Linked DNA regions of Coturnix japonica. The protein of the gene in region 1 interacts with the protein of each later gene in a pairwise test. Links are inferred from orthologs where the notes say so. Each region holds a gene or a part of one and is shown in the gene's direction. Other genes may lie near its edges.

Region 1 (4,115 bases):
CCGTCATGCATGTCATCAAATTCATCTGTTACGGAATTTCCCATTTCCAGGTGATTACACTTTGCACCTCCCCAACGAGTTCGGCTTCATAAACTGAACCGAGAAACCTACAAAGAACAACAGCATTGAAACGATGGCCGCGTGAAACGTTCATGCTTCAAAAGAGGGATATAAAGAAAACGTGAAGGGTGATTCGCTACTGAAAACATCGTGTTCTTGTTAGAAGGTGTATCCACATCTTCACAAATACACCGAACGTATGTGAGACCTCGGGGCTGCGACCCTGGGCAGGTTCCAGTGCAGAACCGCGGGCATCTCCCTCGGATACACGCTGGGCATTAACATTCTCGAGCCGTATTGACTCAGTTCCTTCCTACGCACGAATAAGAGACAAATCGCTCCCGTCGCTCCAGAAAACTCCCAAGTATCGTTTGTTTCACAAAAGGCTCCGAACAATGCGCCTCCAGCGCCATGACTCACAGCTGCGCGCAGGGTCTGACTCGGCTCCCTGCGTTATTGGCACGGCTCGTTTATGAACCGGCTCCTGGAGGAGCTGAGGTCCCACACACCTCCCTGCCCCACAGACGTGCTCTTTAATTGTACAGCAATTAACACGCGTGAGCCGCCCCGCACAGCACAAAGCGCTGCGGGCTGAGGCACAGCGCAACGGCTGCTCCTGCTGCAGCGCCGGGCACAGCAAAGAACCGGCACCGCTCAGGGAGAGCCGGGAGGAGAAGGTTGGGCTGCCCGGCACTGCGGGGCGCACAGAGCGGCACAGGGAGCCAAGGGACGGAGCCGTCCTGTCAGAGCCCTCACAGGGAGCGGCAGCAGCTGAGGGGCTGAGGGGCCTCACGAGGCGATGAGGGGCTCCGCGTGAGGAGACGCCCCGCGGGGACACGCAGCAGCACGGCCGGGCAGCTGCCACGCCCTGCCCCGCTCCCAGCGCCCCGTGCCGCCTCAGCCGCACCGAGACAACCCGCGGCACCGACACCACCGCCAGCCCCGGCCCCGTCACCGGCCCCGCTCCCGCCGCCCCTCCCGCGGGCACCACCGACCTCCTCCGCCCGGAGGCCGCGCAGCGGGACGCTGGGGCGGGGCCGGCCAGGCGGGACCGACCCCTCCTCCTCTCTCATTGGCCGCCCGCCACGGACTCGCCTCCTGGTTGGCCGGCGCTCCTTTCGATCTGCCCTGCGGGCGGCTCCCCATTGGCTGTCGGCAGAGGAGGCGGGGCGTAGTGTTTGAATCGCGGCCCGGCGGTGGGCGGGCGGTCGCTCCGTGCCACGTTGTCGCCGGCGGCTCCGCGCGGCCCGACCAGAAGGGGGAGAGGTTCGGCAAAGTCCGGAACCGCTCGGCAATGCCCGGAGCCGGCTGGTAAGGCGACGAGCTGCCGGCTCGCCCGGCCCCGCCGCCGCCCGGCGCGAGGTGAGCGCGGCCACCGGACCGAGAGGGGAGAGCGCGATGCTGGCCGACAGCCTGGTGGAGGAGTTCGAGATCCGCGAGGATGAGCCGTGGTACGACCAGCAGGACCTGCAGCAAGGTGGGCGGCACGGCACGGCACGGCACGGCGGGGCGGGGGGTCGGGCGGAGGGGACGGGGCGGATGGAGGAGCGCGGGGCGGCGGCGGGGAGAGCACGGGGCGGGAGCTGGGACCGCCGGTACCGGCACGGTGCGGCTTTGTCTGACGGAACGGGCGGCTGCTGCCGTGCCCGGCCCTGCCGGCAGCGGGGCGGCTCCGGGGGCTGCGCCCGATGGAGCACGGCCGGGATGGGGCGGCGGGACCACGCGGGAGGGAGAAACGGTACCGGCTGAGCCGCGGGCACACGGCGATGGATCTGCGGTACAGACATCGGCGGACGCGGCGATGGAAAGAACGAGCCGGGAGCTCCGGAGCTCGGACCGGGCGGGACGGGCGGCTGCTCCGTGCGGGAGCTGAGTCGGAACCCGCCGTACGAGGCACAGGGCAGCGCTGGGAACCGTCCCGAGGCGGCAGCGCTGCTCCGCGTGCTGTGTGTGTGTGTGCGGGATGCTGCCGCGGCCACAGGTTATAAAGAGATCCATTGAAATGAGGTGCTGAAGCCATTGTTTGCTGTCAAAGGGATGAGCTGAAAATCTGAAGTCAGGGTTTGGTATTTTTCCGCGTCGTTATTTGTGGGGTAGAAGATGTGCATGGTGGAGCCGTGCTGCTCTCCTGCCGTGCTGCTTCAACTTCGCTCTTTGCCACCGTGAGCGAATACTCGCCCTTGGTTCCCGGCCGGGGCTGGGCACTGCTCCGCTCCAGGGGTCGCTGACTGCTCTCCCTGCACCTGGAACGTCTCTTCCGAAGGATCAGCTTCTCACGAGCCCAAGTGGAAGGCACTGACAGCCTGCCAGAGGGAAAGGAGAAAGTGAACCGATGGGCAGGCTGAAATGCAGATAGGTTCCTTAAGGGAACATCTGTGAAACGTCCTGCTATAGTGGACTTGTACAGTCTGGAAAATAGTCATCATTCTAAAACCAAGCAACACAAGTGCACATAAATGGAGCAGCAAGGCTGGGCACTAGTGAAACTTATCACAACCCACCAACCAGAGCACGTGTAGAAATCAAGGAGTGCGTTTGTGAGGACACATCACTGAACACAAACCTGCAGCCCTTCACAGCCTGCCCAGGAGCTCAGGGAGGGCAGCAGCTGGACAAACTTCCACTTAGTTTAATTTTACAGTTAGACTTCAACTTAGACATCCTGTACTACAAAGGCATTCTACTACTGAATAGACTTACTTTTAGAACAAAAATCATCTGAATTGCTTTGTTAGATGGGCTATGAAAGCATAAAATAAGAGTTTAGTACCACGTTCTGTCTTTTGCTCAGCTACAGAAACGCTGCCAACAGGTAACAGGAAAAAAGCAGAATTGTTGTAGGATGTTCACATAAAAGTGCTGCGTGCTTCTAGTATCACAGAGTGACTCTCAGACAAACGTGTTCTCCTGTATCAGGAGAATGCACTCTACATTTGACTGTAGGTATCTGCAATGTAGAGACACGGGTGCACAATAAATTGTTAACTTCAGAACAGGTCAGATTGGTTCAATTCTTTCCTTTTCTAGGGGTAGCAGTTTGAGAAAAAGCCCTGAAATAGGCTGTGTTTCTTAACAAGGGGTGTTACAACAAAAAAGCTATGTGAGGATAAACTGCGAAGTGTAAAGCAGCGAGCCACGCGGCTCCCAGCTCTAACAAGAACTTGTATGCAGGGTGATTTGTTGTAAATAAATTCCAGAAACATTATTCAAAGCATCTGACAGCTACAGCCCGTTGTTTCCTACCTTAAAGTACATGTAATGGATACCACAGCTGTTGTTTGTCCTGAGCAGGACATCTACAGCTTACACAGACAAGTGAATGGGAACATTTTTCTGTTTGGTCTGAATTCAGTCTTTGGTTTATGTATCTGGACCAAGTGCTCACTTCAGACATGCTGCCAAAGTGAAGGTTAGCACAAAGCAGTCTGGGAACAGCCCTCTGTCTGCTACAGCAACCAGCTGATAAGGGAACTGGGGAAGGGCAGGAAGGAGATGAGAAACACCTTAAAACAAGGGCATCTTAATCACATGAAAACTGAGAATGTTTTCTTGTCTAACTAGAACAGCGGGTGATGCAGTATGTCTCATGTATTCATTTCAGGCATCTTAAAGAGAATCTGGGTTTTTCTTGAACCTCCTTCTGCTTCTTTCCCATTAGTGATGCTATCCCTACCCATATGAGAACTAACAAGGCTGCCTGCATGCAGGAGAAACCTGGTCAGACCCAGGTAATGGGAAGGAGGTGAAAAGTAACGTTAGAAATCTGTTGAATTTGGAACATGTAATACCTGCACAGTGTAGTTACTATTTTAGCAATAACACAGGATTGATTTCATCACGTTATGTTAGTTTTTAAATTGCATGCATCTTTAAACATAATAATATGAAACATCTAGCAATACTCATGCTGCTTCCCTTCAGAAAGGAGCTGGGTGTTCAGATGACTTATTTCTTAATATGAAACAACTACAGTCACTGTACCCTGGAGGTGATTGAAGTGAAATAGAGATTAAGTGCCTGCGAACAAATTCCACTTAAAATGGTGTTTTGGAGCA
Region 2 (3,645 bases), on another chromosome or scaffold:
GTTTCCATTCATGAACCCTGTCAGCCAACTGTAAGATAGAAAACAAACAGGATTTTCAGTCTTCTTGTTTTTTTGAAGACAAGGTGACACTCATTACTTCCATGACCTAGAACAGCCAGTAATCCTAGTTCATCTAAGACTTTTTCATAGCTTTCAATTCTCAATTGATATGGATGTTTGTTTGTTTCAAGTTAGCACTTAAACCACATTTAGTAAGTTTCAGAACACAAAATACAATCTAACTAGTTATTGTTATTATTTCTGAATAAGCAAGGTGTTACTGAACCCATTTCTATGCTTAGACCAATTTGGTGTTACTCTGCTTAGATCCTGCTAAATGAGCTTCTCTTCAAGATGCGTATGTACTGGGTGGAGTGGGAGGATTTGTACTGTCTTGTTACCTTTCCTCCTTTAAATTCTTCTCCTTTTTCATATTTGATACAGTTGCTTATAAAGATTTTGCTGAGTTTAAGGAAGAGTCTGCAAATGTCAAGGGAACTTTAAAAGAGACTGGAGGCAAGATGAATTCCAGACTGTTTATAATTGCATATTTCTGTCTGGTAGGATGGTAATTACCTTTAGGAAATACTTTTTTTTTTTTTTTTTTTTTTTTTTTTTTTTTCTTAAATTGATGCTGTTCTTAGGGTTCATATCAGGTATTCATAGCTTTCTGATTCTGGTATGAATATCATTTTGTTTTTTCAGGTTTGGACTAAGCAACAAATTTGAAGCAGAATTTCCTTCATCTTTAACTGGAAAGGTGAGTATCTGAACAGCATCAACAACAAAAAAATAGAATTTGATTTAAGACTTTTGCTATTAAAAAAGCAAAAGCTTAAGTCATGGTCCATTCACAGAGTAATAAATCACACTGTTGTGGTAATAGGTAGTTTGTTTTTTCTTGTAGGTTGCTCCTGAGGAATTTAAAGCCAGCATCAGTAGAGTTAACAGTTGTCTTAAGAAGAACCTTCCAGTTAATGTACGATGGCTACTTTGTGGATGCCTTTGCTGCTGCTGCACTTTAGGTTGTAGTATGTGGCCAGTTATCTGCCTCAGTAAAAGAGTAAGTTGAACTATTCTTATTTTTGTAAGTCAGAATTGTATTGGCTTTGCTCCTTTATTTTTCCTCTTTTTTCTCATATCCTCTTTTTTCTTGGCAGCTTTAATAAAATATACTACTGCTTACGTAGATGAGTTTGATTTCATATGTTTTGATCTCTCTTGTCTGTCATACCACTTAAAATAGGCACCAGTCAGAATGCTGAGCTTACAACTCTGTGACTCGTAGTTTAGCACAGTGTCTCTGCTAGAGCCATGTGCTGTACAGCACTTACTGTTAAAGTAATAACTGTGCATTTTTAATAGCTTCTCTGTGATTCTGTTAGGAATCATCAGAATTGGGCATTGACTGTTGTGAAAGGTATTTATGAGTAGTTTCTAGTTATACTGTGACCTAAGTAGCCATATGCTTGCATTTACAAATGAATTTTTTAAAGATTGTTTTACCTTTCTTCCAAGCTGGAGATGAGTAAGGTATTTTTTTCTTGCACTGACAGCTAGAAATTAGTGTTTTGTCTGAGTCTGCAACACTTGGTGTGTTGTTCATAACAAAAGCTTTTTGCATGTGCCTAATTTTTTACCTCCCTAATCCCATTGCAAGTAATTTTGCAACCCTCCCCATCTCTTCTGTTCTCACATGTGTAAAAATTTTGGCTAATCCCATTTCACTTATTTGCAAGAAGTCTCTGTGCATTGCCATCCTCTTCTTGTATTGGCACTGTAAATCTTTCCAGTTCACGGTGATGCTTGTGTGTAATCCATCTTGTGTAATACCCGTTAATGCTGCAAATCATTGTACTGTACACTGAGCGCTATCGTGCTTTTCTTTACTGAGGACCTCATTTTACACAGTCAGTAAATCAATGCTCTAAAATTGACAGTGATTGTATGCTTCTGCAATGTGAGCTTATAATTTTATTTGCTCATCTTTTCAATACTGATCAAGCATTTGCAGATGAAGGCTTCTGCACAAATGCACACCTGCTTGAGCAAGTGGTGTTGCTAAAACCAGAAGTTGTGCAAGCTCCTTTTGTAGTTTTAGTATTGGTATTACCATTATATGTTATAAAAGCTATGTCTGAACTCCTGAAACTCCCATGTACTGAAAGCAAACAAACAGAAAAGAATAGAGCAGATTTCTTTTGTCCAATTTTTTGTGTAAATCTTAACAAATACTCTCTTGAAGGGATTACTTTAAATTAGTTTTAAATGTATGTAGATTAACCTGCTGGTAATATTGGAGTCCTTGGAAAGATACAGTTGTCAGTTTGAATTATTTCAAGCCCTTGGTTTTGTACCTTTAAGCTGTTACGAACTAGTGAGTTTCCTGTAGGATGACTGTATATCCATATCCTGAAAGTCTACTGCAGGAAATCAGCTGATTCATTCAACAGATAAATTGGTGCCCTAACCAGCTTGCAGAGATAACTATTTTCTGTTCCAGTCTAGCTCTGTTTGTTAAAAACACAAGGGAAACTCACATCTCTACTGTCCCTGTGTAACTTCAAAGCCGAAAGCTTCTGATGTTCTTAAGTTTTGTCCCTCTTCTCAAGTAATGAGCTGTTGTAGCAGAATGTAACATGGTCATAAAAGTAAAGCTGCTTTTGGGAGGACGAGGCTGATGCCCCTTAATCCAGCACTGAAAGTCACTACTAGTAATCAACTTCTTAATTCATTGTTTAATAGTCAGAGAAAAGGTAAGGGCTCATAGTATCTGGAGCCAGGAAACAGAGTTTCAGTCTGAGGAAAGAGGTTCTGTGTATGAACCTAGTGAAGCAACAGAGGAGTGCTTCAGTTGAAGTTAGCTTGGGATGGGAGTTATGGCAAGCTCTCTTCCTGAAGGATAAATCTGGAAACAATGTATGGATGCCCTGTTCAGAAGAAATTACTTAAGGAATTCCATACTTTTTCCTGCACTGAAGATGAGTGATTCATGCTGGATTTACAAGCTTAAACCCCAGTGAAATTAAAGGTAGGACTCAGCTGCCTGAACATTGTGTTGTGCCACTGTGAGTGGTGTAGTGGCACTAGAATTTATGCCTATAGCCTTTTTGATAGCACTGAATACATTTGTTCAGGCTGTTTGATTATTGCTGTGGAATAAAAATCCTTTAAGTCAGATGTTGTGGCAACATCATTTGTCTGTATCAGCAGCACAACATATAGATGTCTGCTTAGAGGATTATTGTCTATCAGGTGAAGACCTGTGAACTCAGTCGGGTGAGCTGATGACTATAATATAGAGGAGAGTTAATTAACTAGCAAGTACAGGAGTGCTTTCCCAAATTGAACTCTTAATCCTGGAACTGGCTGAGGAAGACTTGAAATGAAAACAGCAATTTCAGAGTTTTGAATAATAATAAATAAACAGTAATTCTCTTGTTTTTTTTTTCTTTGCTGCTCACAATGACTTTTTGAATTCTAATATGTGAATGCAGTCACAAATGTAACATATTTTGAAGCTACACACTTCGAATGGTTGCTTATATAACAAGCATATATGCTTATTTTTGTGCATTTATGTGAAAATTAAGTTATGGATTTGTCTTGTTAAATCAAGTCCTTCAAACTAGGCATTTTTTAAAT
Region 3 (4,420 bases), on another chromosome or scaffold:
GCAAGGCTCTAGAGGAAGCTCCTGCTGGCTTTCTCCCTAACTCGATGCTCTTTTCCCTGACGAGGAGGTGGTGGAAGGGGCAGCATTAGGATGGAAAGCTGAGAGCTCCTCTTTTGCTTTCTCCAGATTGCTGTGACTGGGTACGGAAACGAGCTGGAGCGTCGTGATGGATGTTACCTGCTTAAGGACATCAAAAAATGGACCCTTTTTGACAAACAAGTGGAATTCAGATAGAGACGAGGTGGAGGTGGGCGGGAAGCTCAGTAATTGCATTTTATTTCAGTCTTTATGAATTAGCTCTGCCAATTCCTTTAATTCAAATAGCTTTTAAGTAAACTTCTCAGCTGCAATTACAGTAAAAACAGACTATACTACATACAGTCAGCTTTCACATATAGGAAGAACGTTTTTTCTTGCTCACGTCTGAATTCTAGTTTATAGGAACAATGGCAGGGTTTAATTTTCTGTCATTATGCACAGGTTAGCCTAGACTGGATATTAATAGACACACACATATTCACACCCACGGCCACAAGTACCGCATCAATCAAATTTGGAAGATAAAACTTACACTCCATGGCAACTTGAAGGGTGCAATTTTCTTTCTCTTCTTTCATCTTTCTAAAATACCTTCAGCCATGTAGAAGGCATTGGAGGTGATAGACCCAGCCAGCTTGGAGCTGCAGGAGAGCATCCAGGGCACATATGGGGAGCACTGATTTGCTTCAGGGACCACTTAAGCAAAGCAATGCCTGTAAGTATGTTGGTGTGCAAAGCACCTTGCAGCAGCCCAAGAAATAGGAAGCCTCAGGAGAGGGCAGGCAGCCACCCAGCTGTCCATACATGGGTCCTGCTATGGCCACCGCTCATTCCATGCACTGGGCAGCTTGTGGCATAGATCAGTATTGCCTTGTTGGCTGCACAGTCTGCACTTGTGAACCTCTAGACCTAAAGCACTTATCCCCACACGTCTCTGGACACTTTAAAATAATTTAGCAGCTTATTTATACATGCAGGCATACATACACGTGAGCACACAAACCGGCCCAGAATAAAGATAGCAGAACGACCATAGGAGGAAACCTAAAACCTCACTGACCAAAAAAACAACAAACAAACAAGCCCACAAGCCAGTAGATGGTAAAAACGAGACAAAAAAGGGCTTCAGCTTTATGCAGAAGTGGCAGTATATCCTTAGACACACACTATAGGCTGTAGGCTCAAGCATAGAAGAATCACGATTGTAGATTGTAGAATGGTTGGTTTGGAAGGGGGCTCAAGGATCACGAAGCTCCAACCCTGCGCTACGTGCAAGGCCACCAACCTCCACATTTAATAGCAGCCCAGGGTAATTAATACCTGCCCGGGGTAACACACAGCGATAGAGCAGCTCCGCTGTGTGACGGGACTCCTGAGGAACCCAACGGACGGCGCCCAACGGCCGCGGGTGGGCGGGGCTAAGAGCCGAGGCGGGGCCTGATTGGTTCCCTTCCCCCGCCGCGCGCCCAGCCGGGATGAGGCGGAGTGCAAAGAGGGAGCCGAGGCTATAAATAACCCGCGCTTCCTGATTGGCCGGTGGGAAAAATGGTCGCACCACGTGACTCTCCATCTAAAAATTCCAAGATGGCGGATCCCGTCACGGGCTGAGTCCGTTGGTGGCGCGCGCGCCGCCCGTGTCCGCCGCCGAGCTCTCGCCTCACGGCTCCACGCTCCTCCCACCGGTAAGCAGGTCAGTACGCCGAGCCTCTCGCGTGGCCGGGTAGCCCCGGGGCACAAGGGCTGGGCGAGATTCTGCCCGCCGGCTTTTAATCCCGGCCCGGCCCTCCCCGTGGTTCCCTAAGGCTTCGACGGGGCGCGCGGTTGTTTTCCTCCGGGCTCCGGCCGCGCGGTGCGGAGGGTTCCGCAGGAGGGAGGTGACGGGCAGCTCCGCGCACCAATCGCGTTGTCCCTCGTGGTGGATTTGAGCCGCTGTGCGACGCGATTGGACGCGGAGCCCGGTGGGGGCGTGGCTTCCGCTCGCCCCTCCTCCCGCAGCCGGGCGGCGGCGCTGGCGTTTTTTTGTGAATGAGGCAAAAGGGGGCGGGGCTACGGCGTTGGCCACGCCCACTCGCGGCCGCGCGTGGCTCCTCCCACCCCCGGCAGCAGCGGCGCCGCCTCGGAGCCGCGCGGGGCTCGGCGCGGAGCGATGCGGGCAGCGGTGAGCGGCGGGGACGGGGGCGGCGTGGGACGGGGGCGGTGGGGCCGTGCGGGGCCGACTGGGACCGACTGGCGCCTCCTCGGCCCCGCACGGTCCCACCGCCCCCGGGTTTGGTGGAAGTCCCCGAAAATGCTGTGTTTTAGCTCGAGGGATGAGGTTTGTGCTGCGATGTTGGGGTCTTAACTTGAAACAAACCACAAAAAAAAGGGGGAAAAAAGATGGCTTGCAACGCGCGTGGCTCTGCGTAAGGGAGGTGCTGCGGGCTTTTGCTGCAGGAATTTGTCAGAGCGATGCTCGGCGCTATCATCTCCGAGCGGCGTGGCCTCTGAGCAGGGGAATGTGTTTGCGGAGCGCTTAGTTGCCATGATGGTAGGGCTGTATTTGGGAGCTGAACCGGCCTTTGATTCAAAGCACTTGCGTAATTGTTTTGGGGCATGATACGGGAAGGTTTTGTCGCTTGCTCGTTGGCACCAACTCGGCTCGTTGCTCCCAGCCTCCCCTAAAACGCTGCCTTGAAGCGAAGGGGAAGGTTTGTGTGTGCTGGGTCGGATGGGTGCCCTGTGCTTGTCCTCAGCTCCATGCTCGCTAACGGTGCCGCGATGTGCTGCTGTCACGGGCTGCCTCCAGCTGGGGCCGTGTTCCCTGCCAAAAAGCTACCTGAAGTTAATTATGCTTTGATAACAGCGACGTTTCTAAGGAGCTCTGAAGTTTATATAATAATCTGCTTCTTGGCAAGGCTGCTTTTTTTCTCCTTTTCCTCCCCCCCCCCCCCCCAGCCCCTCCCGCATTGAGTTCTGCCTGCTCTGATGTTTCCAGTGCTGCCGCGTGGAGTTCCCAGCCCAAAGGCTGCCTTTGTCACTCCTCAGCCTCTCAGAAAGAGTTAAGAGGGCATTGAATTAAGAAAGCTCAGCTGCTTGTATACAAATATACCGCAATTACAAGGCACCAAAGTTATTGCCGAATCCTCCCGTCACCATGGTGATGTGCTCACTCAGTTCCATTTGGAGATGTAAAATGCCACCCAGTTAGAAAGAGGAAGTTTTTTAGCACTGCAGGTTTTTCTGTACCAAGTGAAACGTGCTTTCCAGGATGTGTCTGCTGCTCTGAATGGCACGTGCACCTGCCAGGTGTTGTCGCTGACGTTAAGCTGTGCTCTCGGTTGGCTCAACTGAAGGGGGGGAAAATGATTCTGATAATCTCAAGTCTTTAAAATTCATCTTTCCCGTTCTTGAATTTCTTTGGGTTTTTGCTTCAGGGTTTGGTTTTGTGACAAGGATGCTTTAGAACAGCCGGATATGTGTTTTGAATGGCTTGTACAGAATGGGTTGGAAGGACGGGGTGGCAGCTTTCATCCTTTGCACAGGAGCTGCCCCTTCAGATGTGTGTGTCCGTGCAGCACCGTGACCTGCAAAACCATTCAGCACTGTGGTTTTCTTTGCCGTCTCTGCTTACATAGAGCTGTGGTTTAGCAGGCAATATCGGTGGCAGGTGGATGGCTGGACTGGATATCTCAGGGAGTCTTTTCCAACCTTGGTTATGTGATGTGTAGGCAGGTCTGAGCTGTATGGCCAGGGTCGGGGGGCAGTGGGTTCCATGCCCCAAGTATGTGATGTGGTTGGTGGGAGCGAGTCTCATTTATCACTTTATGTTGGCTTACAAGCAAAAAAGAATGAAACGGAAGGAAGAATTAAGCAAAAAGAGGGAGCTGCTTGGTTATGGGTTCCTGGAGAGGTGGAGCTGATTCCAGCCTGCAGCATTAAACCATGCAGTGACCTGCAAGGGCAGGGAGCTGGGCTTAGTGAAAATGAAAGGTAAAGTTGAGCAGGAGCCCGTGGGTTTAGATTACGTTGCCCTCCTAATCTCTTTGAAGTGGCTTGCTGCTCCCTGAAGCAGACTTCTTTAAAGCCATCGGAAGATGCCTCTGGGATCAGAAGCTTGGTGCAATGGCTGAAGCTTTCCCTCTGATCATTTGTGGGTTTCCAGTTCTGAGGCAGCTACAGCCTTTCTATTGCATGAACATACCCCAAACCAGATAAGACAAAGTGCTGAGGAAGAATGTTTCCATTGCCTATGTAGTATATGACAGTCAGGTACTCCAGGTCATCTTTCTGTTTCCAGAGCTGAGAACAGCTAAGAGCTCACCATGCACTTACCAAGTAACTTATGCTGAAAGCAGTTTGCATGCTGGATGTCCTTTAGAACCTGCTGCACAGCCTGACCTCA

The links.
Region 2: the proteins of CDR2 (region 1) and CHIC2 interact in binary tests that used the Homo sapiens proteins (3 or more experiments, as listed by UniProt). The link is inferred for Coturnix japonica from reciprocal best matches to the Homo sapiens genes CDR2 and CHIC2.
Region 3: the proteins of CDR2 (region 1) and HDAC4 interact in binary tests that used the Homo sapiens proteins (3 or more experiments, as listed by UniProt). The two-hybrid records come from large-scale screens. The link is inferred for Coturnix japonica from reciprocal best matches to the Homo sapiens genes CDR2 and HDAC4.

Annotation. Positions count from the first base shown.
Region 1 is NC_029529.1:8,362,956-8,367,070, reverse strand, and holds the start of CDR2 (cerebellar degeneration-related protein 2), read left to right. Parts: upstream 1-1,247; 5' UTR 1,248-1,458; coding exon 1,459-1,537; intron 1,538-4,115.
Region 2 is NC_029519.1:59,090,756-59,094,400, forward strand, and holds part of CHIC2 (cysteine-rich hydrophobic domain-containing protein 2), read left to right. Parts: intron 1-705; coding exon 706-760; intron 761-907; coding exon 908-1,063; intron 1,064-3,645.
Region 3 is NC_029522.1:2,887,019-2,891,438, forward strand, and holds the start of HDAC4 (histone deacetylase 4), read left to right. Parts: upstream 1-1,611; 5' UTR 1,612-1,721; exon of another isoform or gene 1,722-1,729; intron 1,730-2,103; exon of another isoform or gene 2,104-2,197; intron 2,198-4,420. UniProt on the Homo sapiens protein: Responsible for the deacetylation of lysine residues on the N-terminal part of the core histones (H2A, H2B, H3 and H4).